2 linked regions of the Schizosaccharomyces pombe genome follow. The protein of the gene in region 1 interacts with the protein of each later gene in a pairwise test. Each region holds a gene or a part of one and is shown on either strand. Other genes may lie near its edges.

The links.
Region 2: the proteins of tnr3 (region 1) and mmt1 interact in a two-hybrid assay, tested with the Schizosaccharomyces pombe proteins (one large-scale study listed by BioGRID).

Annotation. Positions count from the first base shown.
Region 1 is NC_003424.3:1,312,272-1,321,122, reverse strand, and holds tnr3 (thiamine diphosphokinase Tnr3/ Nudix hydrolase fusion protein), read left to right. Parts: upstream 1-2,144; 5' UTR 2,145-2,320; coding exon 2,321-4,030; 3' UTR 4,031-4,142; downstream 4,143-8,851. Other genes in the region: Rho GDP dissociation inhibitor Rdi1, read right to left, coding at 660-1,277; tvp15 (COPI-coated vesicle-associated protein), read right to left, coding at 4,626-5,024; fsv1 (SNARE Stx8), read left to right, coding at 6,659-7,402; DNA-binding transcription factor, glucose starvation sensing, Rst2, read right to left, coding at 8,440-8,851.
Region 2 is NC_003421.2:781,742-789,583, reverse strand, and holds mmt1 (mitochondrial iron ion transporter), read left to right. Parts: upstream 1-3,437; 5' UTR 3,438-3,678; intron 3,679-3,743; 5' UTR 3,744-3,878; coding exon 3,879-4,120; intron 4,121-4,339; coding exon 4,340-4,752; intron 4,753-4,795; coding exon 4,796-5,334; 3' UTR 5,335-5,366; downstream 5,367-7,842. Other genes in the region: outer kinetochore KNL network protein, KNL-1 family member, blinkin, Spc7, read left to right, coding at 1-3,064; DNA-directed RNA polymerase subunit Rpb6, read right to left, coding at 5,837-5,990, 6,209-6,483; Tf2-12 (retrotransposable element/transposon Tf2-type), read left to right, coding at 7,450-7,842.

The sequences.
Region 1 (8,851 bases):
TTAAAATAAAAAGTTAAGTTTCAAGCACTATGTAGGATTTTCTCAAAGTCGAGCGAGATACGTTGAAATGAGTTTAAGAATGAGTTATTACCGTTACAATAGTATTCTAGTAATTCCCATCAAAGGGACTAATCAGGCTAGTTAATAGCTATTTGTATTGTTTTCTATGTACTTCTTTGGTGACAACAAGGAAAAGTGGAAAAGTATAAGATACTTGGAAAAATTTAATCAAAATCTCAAAACTCATAATTTCAGTGAAAAGAATATAGTCGGATGTATATATCCTTCCAAAATATCGCATTTGTAAGCTTTGGAACGAGATTTAAAAGAAACAACGTAGATTGCTAAAGGGGAATATGTGAAGATCATATGTAAGCTATAAAAGTAATTTGCACAACAAAAGGCAATCTCCAAACAATCCGAGATATTTGGGTGAAGTAAAGTTTCACTGAAGAAGGTGGTAAGAAATCGTCATTACCATATTCAATTGTAGTCCAGACACCGATATGTGAAAGAAATTGGTAAGAAAAAGGAAAATGTTTGCTTTGTAACAAAACATCACTATAAATTTCTTTATAGTACTGAATACCGAGAATTTTGAATAACCAAGTAGATTTGAAATTTACGATTTTAAAAAATAAGGCTGGCATAAATAATGACTACTTCCAGCTTTTTGCAACGTCAAAAGCCCAAACAAATTCATGATGGACCACTTTATCATCATCAACAAACTTTCCATTGGCTTCATAATGTCCGCGAGCCAGCATACCTGTAGGTGCCTCATCTGGTTCAGAGGTAAAATCATAAGGTGTTTCAGAAGGTCCATAGGAGCCAATCATGGTAGATGTTTTGTCAACAACAAAGCCACGTCTGCGAACAGTTTGGACATATCTTAAGCCTGAAATTACTTCGTGTTGTACACGAAATTTAACACCAATCTTAAACTCGCTTCCTTCCTTAATAGTGAACCCTTTCTTGCGGATTTGTTCGACACTTGCTGCATCTTCCATGTTAACATCAACTGGGTCACGGCCGTCAACAAGTAAACTCAGCTTTAAAATAACAACTGTTCTACGATCATTCGAGGGTGAATAACCTGTTCCCGTGATACCCAGAGATGCTTTCCATTTCTGCAATGATTCATCTTCGGCATCCATCTTCATATATTCATTAAGTGATTTCTTTTCTCCCAGAGAAACCGGAGGTCCATGCTCAAATGTATCATCCTCTAGTTCAGGGTTATGTTGATCAGCGGATACTTCATTGTTAACACTCATTTTAAAACAACGCAATAGAATTTAATTATCTGCCAGTAGCTAAACCAAGGACAATTTGTTTTTATAAAAAAAGTTCAGATTCGTTGTTTTGTTAATGTACTGTTCTAGAGTTGAAATTGGCAAAGGGAACATAGCATATTGCTATCTCAACAATATAACCAGATGTACTACTATGTTAACATTTCGGTGACTTGGATTATTTTAAATATAACGGAGATGCAGAAAAGCGTGAGAAAAGTATAAGATTTTTTTTTTCTTTCTATTCCCTTCGATTTTTTTTTTAGTGTCATTATCCATGCTTTTATACATGTAAATATGTTGGAGTAATCCCAAGCATTGACGTCTTATGAGACGTAAAAAAGAAGGAACTTTCTATGCTAGCTTTTCTGTAGGCAGATGTTCTTTACATGAAATTGTTTGAGCAGCAAGTTATAGCTGTAGTCGATAACTATTATACAACCAGATTTGATACGTTTAGCGGAAAAATTATCAATCACTTCAGGAATTATTATTAAAAAACTTACGAAGGAAGTCCACTGAAAATAAAAATCATGTGAAAGATACGCTTAACTATACCAAACCCTAATTAATTACAAAAACGGCGGTTGGTGTTAAAGTGAAAATTAGTAAGCCAATCTGTGTGCTATTATTTTTAATACCAAGACATTCCTGGCACGGAGTTCTGCTCCCATTGTAATTTTCCTCGTAGACCACACTCTTGAAAGACAATTACTAGATTACCTTGATTAAGGTACTGTTTGTTTAATATCAACTTCTTTTTTGTTTTTAAAGATCATTTTGAAAGGGGTTTAATAGATTAGCATTTCGTTATACGATAAGGTTTTAGTCAACTACCCGATTTCTACTACCAGGAACCAGTTTCCTTGAGCTTTTACCATTTGCTAGTATAGGGTGTTTTATATATTATTCTATTTATGTTGAATTGAACCATAAGTGTCTCCTTCGCATAAATACACTAGCCTTTTTTATTCCTGTTTTATTTTAGAACACTATCCATTTGAGAGGAAAATTTGGGCAAGGTAATGGCAATGTCGTCTATCACCTCTGCTAAACAATTAAATGCCGAAGAGCTTTTAGATGAATGCGATTCTTTTAATGGGGAATTTGTTCCTGGAACAATTCCCTTCCGTGCAAATGGCGCTGCCATTGGATATGTTACCCCTTTGGTACTAGAAATCCTCATAAAGGCGGATAATTTCAAATTCAATTGGGTTTATGTTCCAGGAGAGTATATTGAAATAAACGCATCTACTTTTGAAAAAAGAACTGACATCTTAGCTAAGGTACTGGAGCATTGGCGCCATAACAATACATTTGGAATTGCTGATCAATGGAGGAATGAATTATATACTGTTTATGGAAAATCTAAAAAGCCTGTATTGGCCGTTGAACGGGGCGGATTTTGGTTATTCGGTTTTTTGAGCACTGGTGTGCATTGTACCATGTATATTCCAGCAACTAAAGAACATCCTCTTCGTATTTGGGTACCACGAAGATCACCGACTAAACAAACGTGGCCCAATTATTTAGATAATAGCGTTGCCGGCGGAATTGCTCATGGTGATTCAGTCATAGGCACTATGATAAAGGAATTTTCTGAAGAAGCTAATTTGGACGTTTCTTCTATGAATCTTATTCCTTGTGGCACTGTCTCCTACATCAAAATGGAGAAAAGGCATTGGATTCAGCCCGAGTTACAATATGTATTCGATTTACCTGTTGATGATCTTGTTATCCCAAGAATTAATGATGGAGAAGTCGCTGGTTTCAGTTTATTACCATTGAATCAAGTACTTCATGAACTTGAATTAAAAAGTTTTAAGCCAAATTGTGCTCTGGTTCTTTTAGACTTTTTAATCCGTCATGGTATCATTACTCCACAGCATCCTCAGTATCTCCAAACTTTAGAACGGATACATAGACCGTTGCCTGTTCCTGTTGGAAAATATGAAAGAGGGGATTCTTTTGAAGATACTTCAAAGAAAGCTGAAACGTGTGTTCCTGCAAAACCCCAAAAAGCCACTCATCAGCTAGCTCCATGTAAGGCTTGGTTACGTGACTATGATACTGATCAAAAGTTTGCGGTATTACTATTAAATCAACCCATAGATATACCGGATGATAGATTTCGTACTTTATGGAAAAGAGCTAGTATCCGAGTCTGCGCAGACGGTGGTGCTAACCAATTGAGAAATTACGATTCTTCGCTCAAACCGGATTATGTCGTTGGTGACTTTGATTCGTTAACAGATGAAACTAAAGCTTATTATAAAGAAATGGGAGTCAACATTGTATTCGACCCATGCCAAAACACCACTGACTTTATGAAATGCCATAAAATAATTAAAGAACATGGGATTGATACTATTTTTGTATTATGTGGCATGGGTGGAAGAGTTGATCATGCCATTGGTAATTTAAACCATCTATTCTGGGCCGCCTCGATTTCTGAAAAGAATGAAGTATTTCTATTAACTGAATTGAATGTATCAACTTTGCTTCAACCCGGAATAAATCATGTTGATTGTCACGACAACATTGGTTTACATTGCGGTCTTCTGCCAGTAGGACAGAGTGTGTATGTTAAAAAAACCAGCGGCCTTGAGTGGAATATTGAGGATCGCATTTGTCAATTTGGAGGACTCGTCAGCTCTTGCAATGTAGTGACAAAAGCAACGGTGACTATAGAGGTCAACAATTTTATAGTATGGACAATGGAAACACGTCTATAAGACCTGTAAGTAAGAAACTCAGAAAGAATATTCATTATTCCCAACAGCTCAAAAAAATTAAGATATTTATTTAGATATAAAAAATATAAAACATCTATAGAGTATAAGCGGTAATGGTCATAAAGCAAAAAGATAATTGATTAGAGTAATGAAATAAAATAGAATTTTAGTAAAGCCAACTAACATTTTGAACTGCAAGATACATCTCAGAAAGTGAAGAAATAGAAAAAAATCATAATTTTTCATATTGTTGAGCTTGACATGTCATTTTTATCCTCCTCGATACACCCGACAGTTCAGAATCCAAGCTGGACAATTAAAGGTATTTGAATGTATAACCCTAAAACCCATCACAAATACCATAGCTACTACGCTAATGTTGATATACAAAAATTATACATAGTTAAGAGATCGTATACATATTTATACTCATTAACTACTCTGAGGATGACTGCTAAAGTGACTGTCTTTTAGAACACCTACCCTGAAGAAAACGAATGTATCCAGAATAAATCATATGTAGGAGGACATCGGGAAAAGAGGGGGGTAGGAACAAGAACCGAATCAAATAATATAGTTAGAAATAAAAAAAAGTCTACACTTCATCAACGTTATCATCCCAATCATTATCACGCATGCTTCTGGGAGCGTAGTCTTGCAATCCTGCTACGTAGTTTGCACCACAGTAGGCGATACCTGCAAGAAGAACTAAAAAGCCTAGGAAAGAAGTAAACCCGGAGTAAGAAAAGAGTAAAGTACCCATGAAAGCGTAGAAGAAGCCCCTTCCTAAGAATGAGAACATGAACGATCCATATTTAATAGCAATAGGAGGAATTTCCTTTTCTAAACCAATAGTTCCCAAACCGAAAACGATGATGAACAATGCAAGTAAAGCGTTTACGAAGCTAAATGAAAATAACTTGATAAATCCGCTTAAAACGAAGATACCACCTACGCCCAAATTAATGGCACTAAACATTTTTGTTTTATCCATTGTGAATTAAGTGTATGCAACCAATATTAAATTTTTCAAGCAATATGTATTTTAGTCGATGTTTGCTTAAAGACAAAGAGAAATGCAAGTTACTAAGCCTGCCTATGCTTACCGATGCGGTCATGCATATTTACGAACTATTGAAATACGGTAAATAAAAATAACGAATTCCATAATTCTCAACCAACTTTTTGTTGTTTACAGAAAATGAATAATTCAATTCATCGAAAATGCATTTTGTTTTCTATAGCATTCTTTGTACTGTTTTTGAAGTTAAAAACACTATCATTTAGTAAATAATGTACTTTCGACCCGGCTTTTTTTTGAGACAACTGTTGTTGACAATTTTAAGGTCTGTGGGTCAATTTATATATTTGTCAAACGTTCGTAAACAAATGTATTTGTATCTTAGTTTCATACGAGCTCCTTTAGCTATATGTGATCTACTCTCACTCGGGATCTACAGGGCTGTAAAATTTTTTGCACTCAAGTTTCACGCGATTATTATCAGATGCACCTGAATAAAAAAGAATAAAGTAAAATAAAAAGCCGAATGTTTTATAACGTAGTAAAATTCCTTCTTATTTTGATCGCTTTGCCATTCATTTGATTATGTTTATAATGATAATTTCACGTGCAATGTCAACTTTGATAGACGGCTACATCTATTTCTAATTCGTAACGCTATAAAAAAAAACTCCATTTTAAACTGAGAATAAAGCAAGAAGTCGATTAGCCGAATATAGATATCAGCATGATTCGTTTTAAACGGCCCAAAGCCTTGTATATATTTGAGTAATTTTCTACTGTACTTAATTGTCTGTAATTAAACAACTATTTGTTACTCCTACCTTGTTACACTTGGATTTAATACTCTGGAATTAGTGTACTAACTCCTAAATAAATATTTAAGTAGTATTTTTCTTTAAGATATTTCTTTAATAAACATTCTCTTCTAATGAAAAGAAAAGCGTCATTATTGGTATTTTAGTTTTCAGAGCAAAGAGGTACTTAACATTTATTATGTCGCAATTATTTTATATATATATTATATTAATATTTTGTAATGAGAAACCTAGGCCTAATAGTGTAGTGGTTAACATACCTCTTTCGGGTAATCCCCACTTGTATGCTGAGTTTAGAGGTGATCCCTGGTTCGAATCCTGGTTAGGCCCCTTTTTATACTGGGCTTGCTGTATAAATTTATCTGATTAATTTTGAAACTACGCAAACCAACTTTCAATAATTAAAAAGTTTTCCTTACACCTTGCTTGATTACCTTTTAATAGATGTGAAATAAGAACTACTAAATTTGTGATAAATACCGAAAACAATCAGAAGAGTCGAAAAGAAGCATTCAAAAAATTGTGTAAATAACGAGTAGGTTTCTAATAATACGATAATTTCACAGGATGCCTATAATGGATCTGGCAGCTAATGAGCAAATCATTTTTACTTTTTTTTTTATTTAAAACATACGAAAAGATTCTCTTTTTTTGCTGCAAACAAAATTTACTGTAATTGAACCTAGAATTGGTAGCAAAGGCATTACACCGTATTACTGTAAACTTCACTAATGTTTGTGTTTTTAGGCGCATGATGAACATGATTACTCAAGAAAGTAACCAGCGACTATGTCAAATTTGCTTCTGATCATTGACTCGGTTTCACAAAAAATAAGAGACAGGAGGAAGTTGGAAGAGTTTGGACAGAATCCCGATGAAGAAATTGAGTCTTCATTGAAAGATGTTCGGCAAGAATTGCAAAAACTTAATGAGGAGCAATCGCGATTAGAGAAAAATGCACAAATCCCAGAGTACAGAGTACGAGAATCCGAAGCATTTCTTATTAGAATGCAAAGGAGGTTAGAGTCTGCTGAGGAAGAGTTTGAGAAGCAGCGGCGTGCATCCTCAATTCCTGCTGACGGAACAAGTGCCTTTTCTGCAAACCCGCAAGTTGCAAGTACGAATAATAAGTTAACTCCCCTTCCTTCTTTACAAAAAACGACTTCGAGTAGTGAGGGATCTGATATTGAGATGGAGGCCATGTATCCGGTTGATGGCAATGACCCTGATCCCATAAACGTAAACGTTTTGGCTCAAATGCATCAGCAAATGCTCAACGAACAAGAAGAATCTTTAGGAGGGATCGAAGCAAGTGTCCAAAGGCAAAAGCGGATGGGATATGCAATGAATACAGAATTGTCCGAACAAAATGTTTTACTAGATAATATGAATAATGATGCTGATCGAATTGAGAGGAGGTTTGATCATGCAAAAAATCGATTAAACAAGGTCAGCCGAAAGGCTAAACAGTATCCCAGATGCTTTATTATTTTGCTCCTTTGTGCGTTGTTATTACTTGTGGCTTCCATTTAGGGTGCAAATAAATATCACTTAGCAATTGTACTTGCTGTAACTCTGTTACACTTTCACTTAATTCTTTTATTTCACGTCCTCTTTGAACTAGGCTATATAGTTCTTTTATTTATATTTAATAACCGTGATATTTACGAACTTTTTTTTTACGATTTTGAAAATGTTTTTGTGATCTTCAACTTCTTTTGCTAAACGAACCTTCCCTTTATAGGGAATACAGAAATTAACTTTTTCGTACATTCCAGTTTCTAACCATTGACTGTCTTTCTACTTTAGTAATTATTTTTCTGCTAGCGCATTTCTTATCGAAATCATTTTTGTGTTCTTTTAAGGGCCGTCCCCCTTGTTCACAAAGCTAGTTTTGACGACTTAAATCAAGTGAATATAGTGCATGCAGAGTGAATGCTTAATAACCATTTGTTACAAACTTTGTTTCGCTAATAACTCCTTATTTGACATTTGAATAAATAACCTATTAGACTTTCAAAATTTTTAGATTCAGGGCAGTAAACAATAAACAACAATATCTTCAATTAGCTGTATCAATTTATTTTCAGAAGTTTTGCTATATTATTCCTTCATCTCATTAAAAAATATTCTCTTCTATTATTAAACATACGTAGTCATGTTATCATTATCATTATTAAGGAAAAGTTTGAACGAGTAGATTCTTTCTTGAGAATTAAGGGAACATGTGCTTGAATGCCATTTTTTTCATCTTAAATATAAAGCCTCCGTTGCTATTGTTAACCATATCACGCTGAACCTTTTTTGATAATAAAATATCAGAAGCAACCCTCTTAACTAATGTGTTGTGAACCTCTCAGCATTGCATATCTTAGCGTAATTAAATATTCGGTAAAAGAGGATCGTTTTCCTATCAACAATTGAACCCCAAATCAAAATATTCAAAACTTCAGATCAATCCTTAAATTAATTAAAAACCGAATCAAAGCTAGTTGATTTTTGTTTAAAAAAACTAAAAGATGCATTTCATTAAGAAACAAATAGTATAAAATATAAAGATATGAAAAAAATTAAAATGAGGGCGGTTGATTCCGATTATTATCTGTAAGCAAACCGGAAGTTTCGGATACAGGATAATTAAAGTCTGAAGACCAATTTGCCCCATTGTTATTGAATGAATTAAAATTAAAGAAAGGAATTGAATTGGAATTATCTAATTTCTCAGACTGAAAATTAGTCTCCATTTGATCCCCTTCGTTGTTCAATGAATTTGAATTCTCAACGCCTTCAAAATTGTAAGAGTCAAAATATCCCATCGAAGCGAAGGCCTGATCTTTATCGGTAATTTCTTCAGATAATGAAATGCCTTCTTCTTTGATGCCTTCTGATATTCTTCCTTCCATATCAACATAGCCTTTTGGAGGATAAGCTTCAGATGGATATTGCTCTGTTCCTAATGGCGAATTAACATGTGCATATGTG
Region 2 (7,842 bases), on another chromosome or scaffold:
GCAACACTTTTCCCCCATCGCTCGCCCTTTAACTTCCCAAGAAGCTATTGTTGACATGGATATTACCTCTAATAACATTAATTTATCTCCAGTGTCTCATTTTTCCAATGGCTTAGATTTACAAAACTTAGAAGAAGCGCCTATGAACCTTACCCGACCAATTAATGCTAATCCTCACTTAACTAATCATTCTCCGAACGATTTAACTAATGGAGAAGAAGAAATGGATACCACCTCCGCCTTTAATATCGAAAACTCACATTTAACTCTCCTTTCCCCCATTCGTCCATCGTCACGATCCATGGAAGAGCAAATAATGGACTTGACACAACCCATTAGCTCTACAAATGCACCCACCCATTTGAATGAAGATGATTTAAATCAATTTACCTCAAATATATCCTCTTCTTCAAAACCGAGAAAGGATAATAACAAGACTGCCAATTCTTCAAAGCCCATTCCCGACAGTGAGGACTTTATGGACATTACTAGACCTTTCAATATATTATCCCCTTCTAAAGAAGCACTTTCCGAAGAGCAACCAATGGAATTAACCTCAACAGTTTTTCCTTGTGAGAATTCTACATCTCATCTTGAGGTGGAAGAAGCTGCTATGGACGAAACAGTGGCTTTTCAAATCCGTGGAAACAATGTTGAGTTACCTTCAGCAGACAAGGAAAATGCCGAGAGAGAAGAAATACCCTCATATAGTGATAAGTCAGAAAATTTCAATACTACCTCCTTTACCAACCATGAACGGTCACCAAATGGGAACAATAATCTAAAATTTTCGAAAGATCCTAACTCTTCTTCTCCAAGTAGACATGTGGTAGCGACTCCTACTGATAAGCTTGGTACTCGGAAAAGACGCTTAAGATATAGCACTTCAAGTTTTGATCAAAGTACCTTGCGTCGCAATCGTCTTGCAACAATCCGTAATGCTCGAAAATCAATTTCAACTTTGAATGACAGAGAACTTCTACCGGTTAACTTTTTCGAAAAAAAAGTAAATTCTGGTCTCTATAAATCGGTTGAGCGATCCGAAAATTATCGTCTAGGAGCTACTCCACTTACCGCAGAGAAGCCATTCACCACAGAAAAGCCGCTTTCAAGTCTTCCTGAAGAAGTTTCAAGGCAACCCACTGATGACAAAGGCGAACAAGTGTCTAATGCAGATGTTGATTCTGGATTGAGTAAAACAGAGCGACTAACAATTCAACAGACTAACGAAATTAAGCACGTTCCAACTAATACGACTTCTTCTGTTAAGCTTCCTCAACAACCTTCGAATGAGGATGAAAAAGAGCGTATAACAACTGCAGATTACGCCGATTCAACTAGTTTGGAGCGATTGGAATCTCAGGAACCCAACCGGAATGAACTTGTTCAAGTTGGTTCGTCAAATGCAGGTAATACAACTTCCGTGGGCATGAATGAACATGAGAAGTCACCCGTCAAATTATCAAAAGGTGTGAGCAATGTTGATACATCGTTGGGCGCTTCGACTATTAACACGAACATTTTGAATCAAGACTCTGGTCCAAATGAAGAAATACCTGTTGGTAATGAGCCAGAATTTGATACGATGCCAACTCTACCAAACGTCGAGCCGATAAGCCTATCAGATTTTCTTAAAATGACCGGAATTGAATTTTTGGATAATCTTACTATTGCTAAAAGACGAGAAACCCTATTGCCAAATGCTGAAGAAAATAAGAAATGCAGTATCCAAGAACTTTTGGAATCTTTTTACATACAATTCCCTTTGTTAGAGTTATACAAATTTAGTTGTCAGCAATTACAGGATTATATTGCCGAAGGGAAGGATTTTGTTACTAAAATTGAAGAGGAAACTTTGAAAGAGAACCCGTTACTATTCTATGAGTATAGGAAAGCATCCAGTGATATGAGGGTTTTAATGGATTCACAATTTTTAATGATGAAAACTTTTGCTAGACTTCAAGCAAAAGGTGATTGGTACGAATGGCGTGAGGGTTTGATGCAAGGAATCAAACATGAATTAAATTTAAATTTAACTGGGATGCAAAGAAGCTTGACCCATTTAATGGATGTCGCGAATGTTATTCATCCGTATGCGCAGGAAATTCAAGAGAGATACAATGGTAGTATTACTACAGTACAGACATTAAAGAAGCAGAAGGAATTTGCAAATCAGTATGACTCAACTCTTCTAGCGCAGGCGCAAGAAAAGTTAGAGAAACTCAAGGTTGAGGTTGAGAGGAGACGTCGGCTTCTGAGTGAAAAAGAAGAAAGAAGAAAGGAGTTGGCAATAAAGATAGAACAAGTGACAAACTCTTGCTCTGATTTGGAATTACGTACCAACGCTGAACAAGATTTTTATGCGAAAAACCAAGATTTTGAATTTGACGAAATTAAGCGATACGAGGAGCAGTTGTTAAATCTTAAAAATGAACTTGGCTGGACCATAGTTTCTTTGACCGCGGGCGGAATTAAATTAGCTACAAATAACACTGCTCTTTCTCCTTATTCAGCCGAGGTTACGGTTGAGATTTTGAGGCAAAATTTCCAAGTTAACGTTGATATTGCCTGTAAGTTCCCTAACGAAAGTAATGCTTGCAGCTCAAATGTGCTCGAGCATGTTGCATCGTCGTTTTCTAAATGGCATTCCAAGGTATTTTCTAGGAACTTACGTCTTCTGAAGAAGTATCTTAACGATGTTTCAATTTGTTGGGAACAAATTGTTTATCTTGTCCAAGATTTCCAGCGATTATGGTACCATTGGCCCTTTTTGTCAGTTGAAAATGATGATAAGTCTATTATCATAAATGTTGAGCTATACCTGCGTTCGGTATCATCTAAGGTAAAGGTTGTTTTCGGTCTCCCAATTGATACTATCTACCAAACTACTGAAGTAGGAAAGTTTTATGCTTCTACATCAGTCGCTGTGAAACAGATGTATGCGGAAAGTGAAGGAGACTCTTATGTTAGTGAGGTTTTGAATACTCTTTCGGAAGTGGTGCATTGTACATCAACTTATGCCCTTTCGTCTGCTTGTCTTACTGTTTGGAACAAATACAGCTAGATATTAATGGGAATGATTAGCTATGCTGCGCCGAAGCGACTTCCTTTCCCAATATTCATTTTGTGCTTAACGCTTGGAAATATCATTTATCCTTGTTGTATACTAGTTCATTCGTTTTCGTTAATTCACATGTTACTAAAGAAAATGTATATATTTTATGCTATTTAATATTGGTGAAATAATAATGGTAGATCTTGACTGATAATGAAATTATAAATCTTTTTGTTAAACCCGTAATGCGCTACAAAATAAAGTGTTTAGTTAATATATAAATAAACTATCCATAATTAAAAGATTCTCGGATGTGCAAATCTGGTGTAGTAAAGTTTCACATTGATCTGATAAGTACGGGATCGACATCTTACGTTCTCCTAGATACATATATACACAATCGATAGAAGAGACCGATCCTAAACAAAACAAAGATCTTAACTAATTTAAGAGAATTGGACGGATATTTAGATTTTTATAATTGAAAGTCAGACGCTGCTTACAAAATTATGAGTTTGCAAGCTCAAATTTTGCAGAATTGAAATAGGAGGTTTTTTAGATTTTTAGGCTTCGCTCGGATTATTAAGTTATCCATTTTTTATTTTTGAACACAGTTTAATTAAGTAAGTCAAAGTTCCTGAACCTCGTCTGCAATTTCTGATAAAAATATTAATACACTTAAAAATAGATTGCATCCGCAATCGAAAGTTCACAGACAGCCGGTTGAGCCCTAATTTCCAGGTTTTCTACATATTTACTTCTTTAGAAGTTTTGTTTTATATATAGATATCCCTTTTCTTGAATTAACAGTACAAAACTCACTATGCTGAAAACGTTCAATTCGTCAGCGCGCTCATGTCGAGCGATGCCGCGTTTTCTACCGACATTGTGCAGCAGATTGCACGAGAAATCTGGCTTTGAAATTCGGAATGCTGTAAGAATGCATAGTGTTGGCTCTCACACTCATACCCATGACCATGGATCGGACAAAGAAATGTTAGAGCTTGTTAAAGCTTTGAAAAAAGAAGGGAAATCTCCAGAGCTGAAACTTGCGTGGTTAGGATTGTAAGTATGGAAAAGAAAAAAAGAAAGTCATCTTTTCTTATCAATTCGGAGCATAGCGGCAACAAAGGAACTGTAGCCCTAAAGTTAGCTAAATAACTCATGATATTTAATGAGACCATTTTTAAACTGGTACTCTCTTATGCTTTCGTTCTACGACAGATCTTTTGACAATTTCTTCCCTTTATTATAGATATTCTTGACTATTAACACTTTTTATAGATACAGCAATATAGGCTTAGCAGCCGCCAAAGGTATCGGCGGAGTTGCTCTACAATCTAGCATTCTTGTCGCCGATGCTGCTCATCAATTAGGAGATACACTTTCGGACTTGGTAACATTGGCTACCTTGAAAATATGTAGCAAGAAGCCCACACAAAAGTACCCTGCCGGTTTTGGCAAATGGGAAACCATAGGTACATTCACCGTATCTGGTTTATTGGTGGCTGTATCTGTAGGCATTGCTCATTCATCGTTATCGAGATTGTATACTATACTATTCCCATACGCTGGTTCAGAACACACGCACATTGGTCATTCTCATAATCCTTCTCAACTATTGTTTGAACACCCCTTTATGGCACTTGGCCTTATATTTGGTAGTGTTGTTCTTAAAGAATGGCTCTTCCGAAAAAGTAAGTAATTTCACCTATTATTGGATTCTAATAGTATATTTAGCGAGAACGGTGGCTCAAAAAACAGATTCAAATATCTTACTAGCCAATGCCTGGCATCATAGAGCAGATGCATTGACGGGAATGGTTTCACTGCTTGCTTTATCCGGCACTTACTTTCTTAATGCTCCATGGCTAGATCCGTTTTTTGGTTGTTTAGTAAGTATTGTCGTTTTTAGTGCCGGCTTCAACTCTTCTAAAAAGGCCTTCTTGCAGCTTTTGGACCGAGCACCTTCCGAAGAGTTACGTATCGCAGTAACTGATGCTTTATTGAAGGGAGAAAAGCTTCCATATAAAATCGTTACTATATTAGGAAATGCACATGCCATGCATGTGATAATATCTGTTCCTCCATCCTTCACATCTCAACAGTCGTCCGAATTGGCACAAAAGGTAGAAAAGACTGTTTTGGATGCTATCCCTGCCCTTTCCAGTTGTATCGTGACACCACTTTCCTCTGACTCTAATCAGGTTCATAGATGGCAACACTTAAATGGGTCTTCTGGTGAACATTCGCATCCATCTCATGAGCACACTCATTAGATATTATACCTTGTAAATTTCGCAATCCATGCTTTGAAACTGATAGTAATAGAACATTTGAACATATCTGAATGATAGGTGTGTAGTAAGCAATTTTGAGTTTTCTGTGCTCTAGAATTTTTTTCAGATTAACAGTTGTACAAAAAACTCCGTGATCAATGAGTTTACATTTACACAGCTACTAAAACTATCGGAAAAAGTTATTATTAAATGCATTCATTGAAGAACGAGAGCTAAAATGCCCCAAAAAATTTTTTGACACAAGAAAAGAAGATTTCTAGAATAGTAGCACAAGCCTTTTTTTTCTCCCGAGGATAAATACGTCCCTATTTCTAAATCGTAAATTAATGGTATAGAGCTAAAAATTTAGTCCTTTTGCTTTTATTTTCTTTTCTTTACCATAGCCAAACGGCTTCGCTCACGTAAAACAAAAGAATTAGGAAAAGAACGAGGTGAATCGAACGAGCGATAGAACGTATTTGAAATTGGAACACTTCTTAAATTAAATGAGCTCCGCTACACTCCAGTCTTCATAACTGCCATCGGGTAAATATCGCCGGACTAGTAGAGGAATCTTTTTTTGTGCAAGCTCCTTCATGGCAATTTGCAAAGGATCAGTTTCACCTTCCAAATCAACTAAAACAGGTGCGTTCATACTAAAATAAAGAGTTAGAAATTAAAAGAAAGCTCAATTGAAAAGAAACAAAATTCATCATAATCAGACAATCCTAACTAGAAAATAAAAAAAAAATTTTTAACTATATCGTTTTTTTTTAAACTCCATGACTGCAAAACAGCATAACGATTCAGGACTTAAGCAATTACGCTAGTGCCTTTGTACGACGCTTTATTGTAAATCCACGCATCTACTCACCTAATTTGAAGTGCTCGAGTTCCCAAAATACGAGCGCGTTCATACTTTGTCATATAAGGAGTAGTGGTTCGGTCTTCCTTTGCTACCGCTTTACCAGATTGAGCTGTTTTTGAGCTAGCAACATCTTCAGTAATAACGGTAGTCGAAGGTTCACCAGGATGAGAGACGCCTTGCTGTGATTGCCCATTTTCATCGATCATCTCCAGTTCATCGACTTCCTCCTCCATAACAGCACCGTCCATTCCAAAGGCCTCATCCTCTTCATAGTCAGACATTTTGTATGCAATTGCCAAAGGAGAAAAGGGGGACAAGGGCGAATCTAAAAAATTGGAAGTTGACAGAGGAAATTCTCATACACCTAGTCAGCGTTCGAATTGTGAATCCGTGTTAAATCTCATTACTTTACACTACAATGCACTATTTACATCTTATATGTTTAATTCATAGAAAGATCGAACGCACGCTCCACTGAAACATTTCAGAGACTTTTTCTTTTATTATTCAAATTATTTTTTAAATCAATAATTTAATTTGATAAAATTGACTGATTGAGAGTCTATTTGTTACTATTACTTTATCATCTCTCTATAAGCATGTCTGTTACCTTTGCTACTTTGTAGAAATTAACTACTAGCTATTGTACCACGTCTCAGGTTAAACTTGTCGCATCCCAACGCATCGTTAATGAGTTCATCAAACGTGTAAACCCTCTTAAAAGGAACTTAATGTCAGCAATACTACACTACGCTATAATACACTACGTTGAGTATCACTATATGTCACATGTTCTAATTATATATCGTACCATGTATGATACGATATGGAGATTGATCTTAATGATAATCTATTAAGATCAATATTATCTGAATACTATAAATAGAGCTACTGCTGAACCTCGTTCCTCAGTTCAGTTATGAGCTATATTAGTGATAGGTAACATTATAACCCAGTTAATACAATACCTATACTCAGTTGCTACTTATACAACCTGTGTATCGTAATATAATAGATCACAAGGAAAACTCACCGCAGTTCTACGTATCCTTAAATCAGATACCAAACTGCGTAGCTTACAATAACTGAACTCTTGTGATCTACAATTAACTCCTTTTAGGAAAAAGGAATTATTGAATAAATATATATCATAAATATATATATTTCTCTCCTTCTGGGTTCAAAGGAGAAGGAACTTTGGAAGGACTGTTATCCCTTTTGAAATCTCCCAAAGGGAAACATATACAATGTCCTACGCAAATTATCGTTATATGAAAGCAAGAGCAAAACGATGGAGACCAGAGAATTTGGATGGAATTCAAACATCAGACGAACATTTAATAAACCTTTTTGCAAAAATATTATCGAAGCATGTACCAGAGATAGGGAAATTCGATCCAAATAAGGATGTTGAAAGTTACATTTCAAAACTTGATCAACACTTTACTGAATACCCTTCATTATTCCCAAATGAGCATACTAAAAGACAGTATACATTGAATCACCTAGAAGAATTAGAGCAACAATTCGCTGAACGCATGTTTTCTGAGAATGGAAGTCTTACATGGCAAGAATTACTCAGACAAACAGGGAAAGTACAAGGATCCAACAAAGGTGATCGTTTAACTAAAACATTTGAA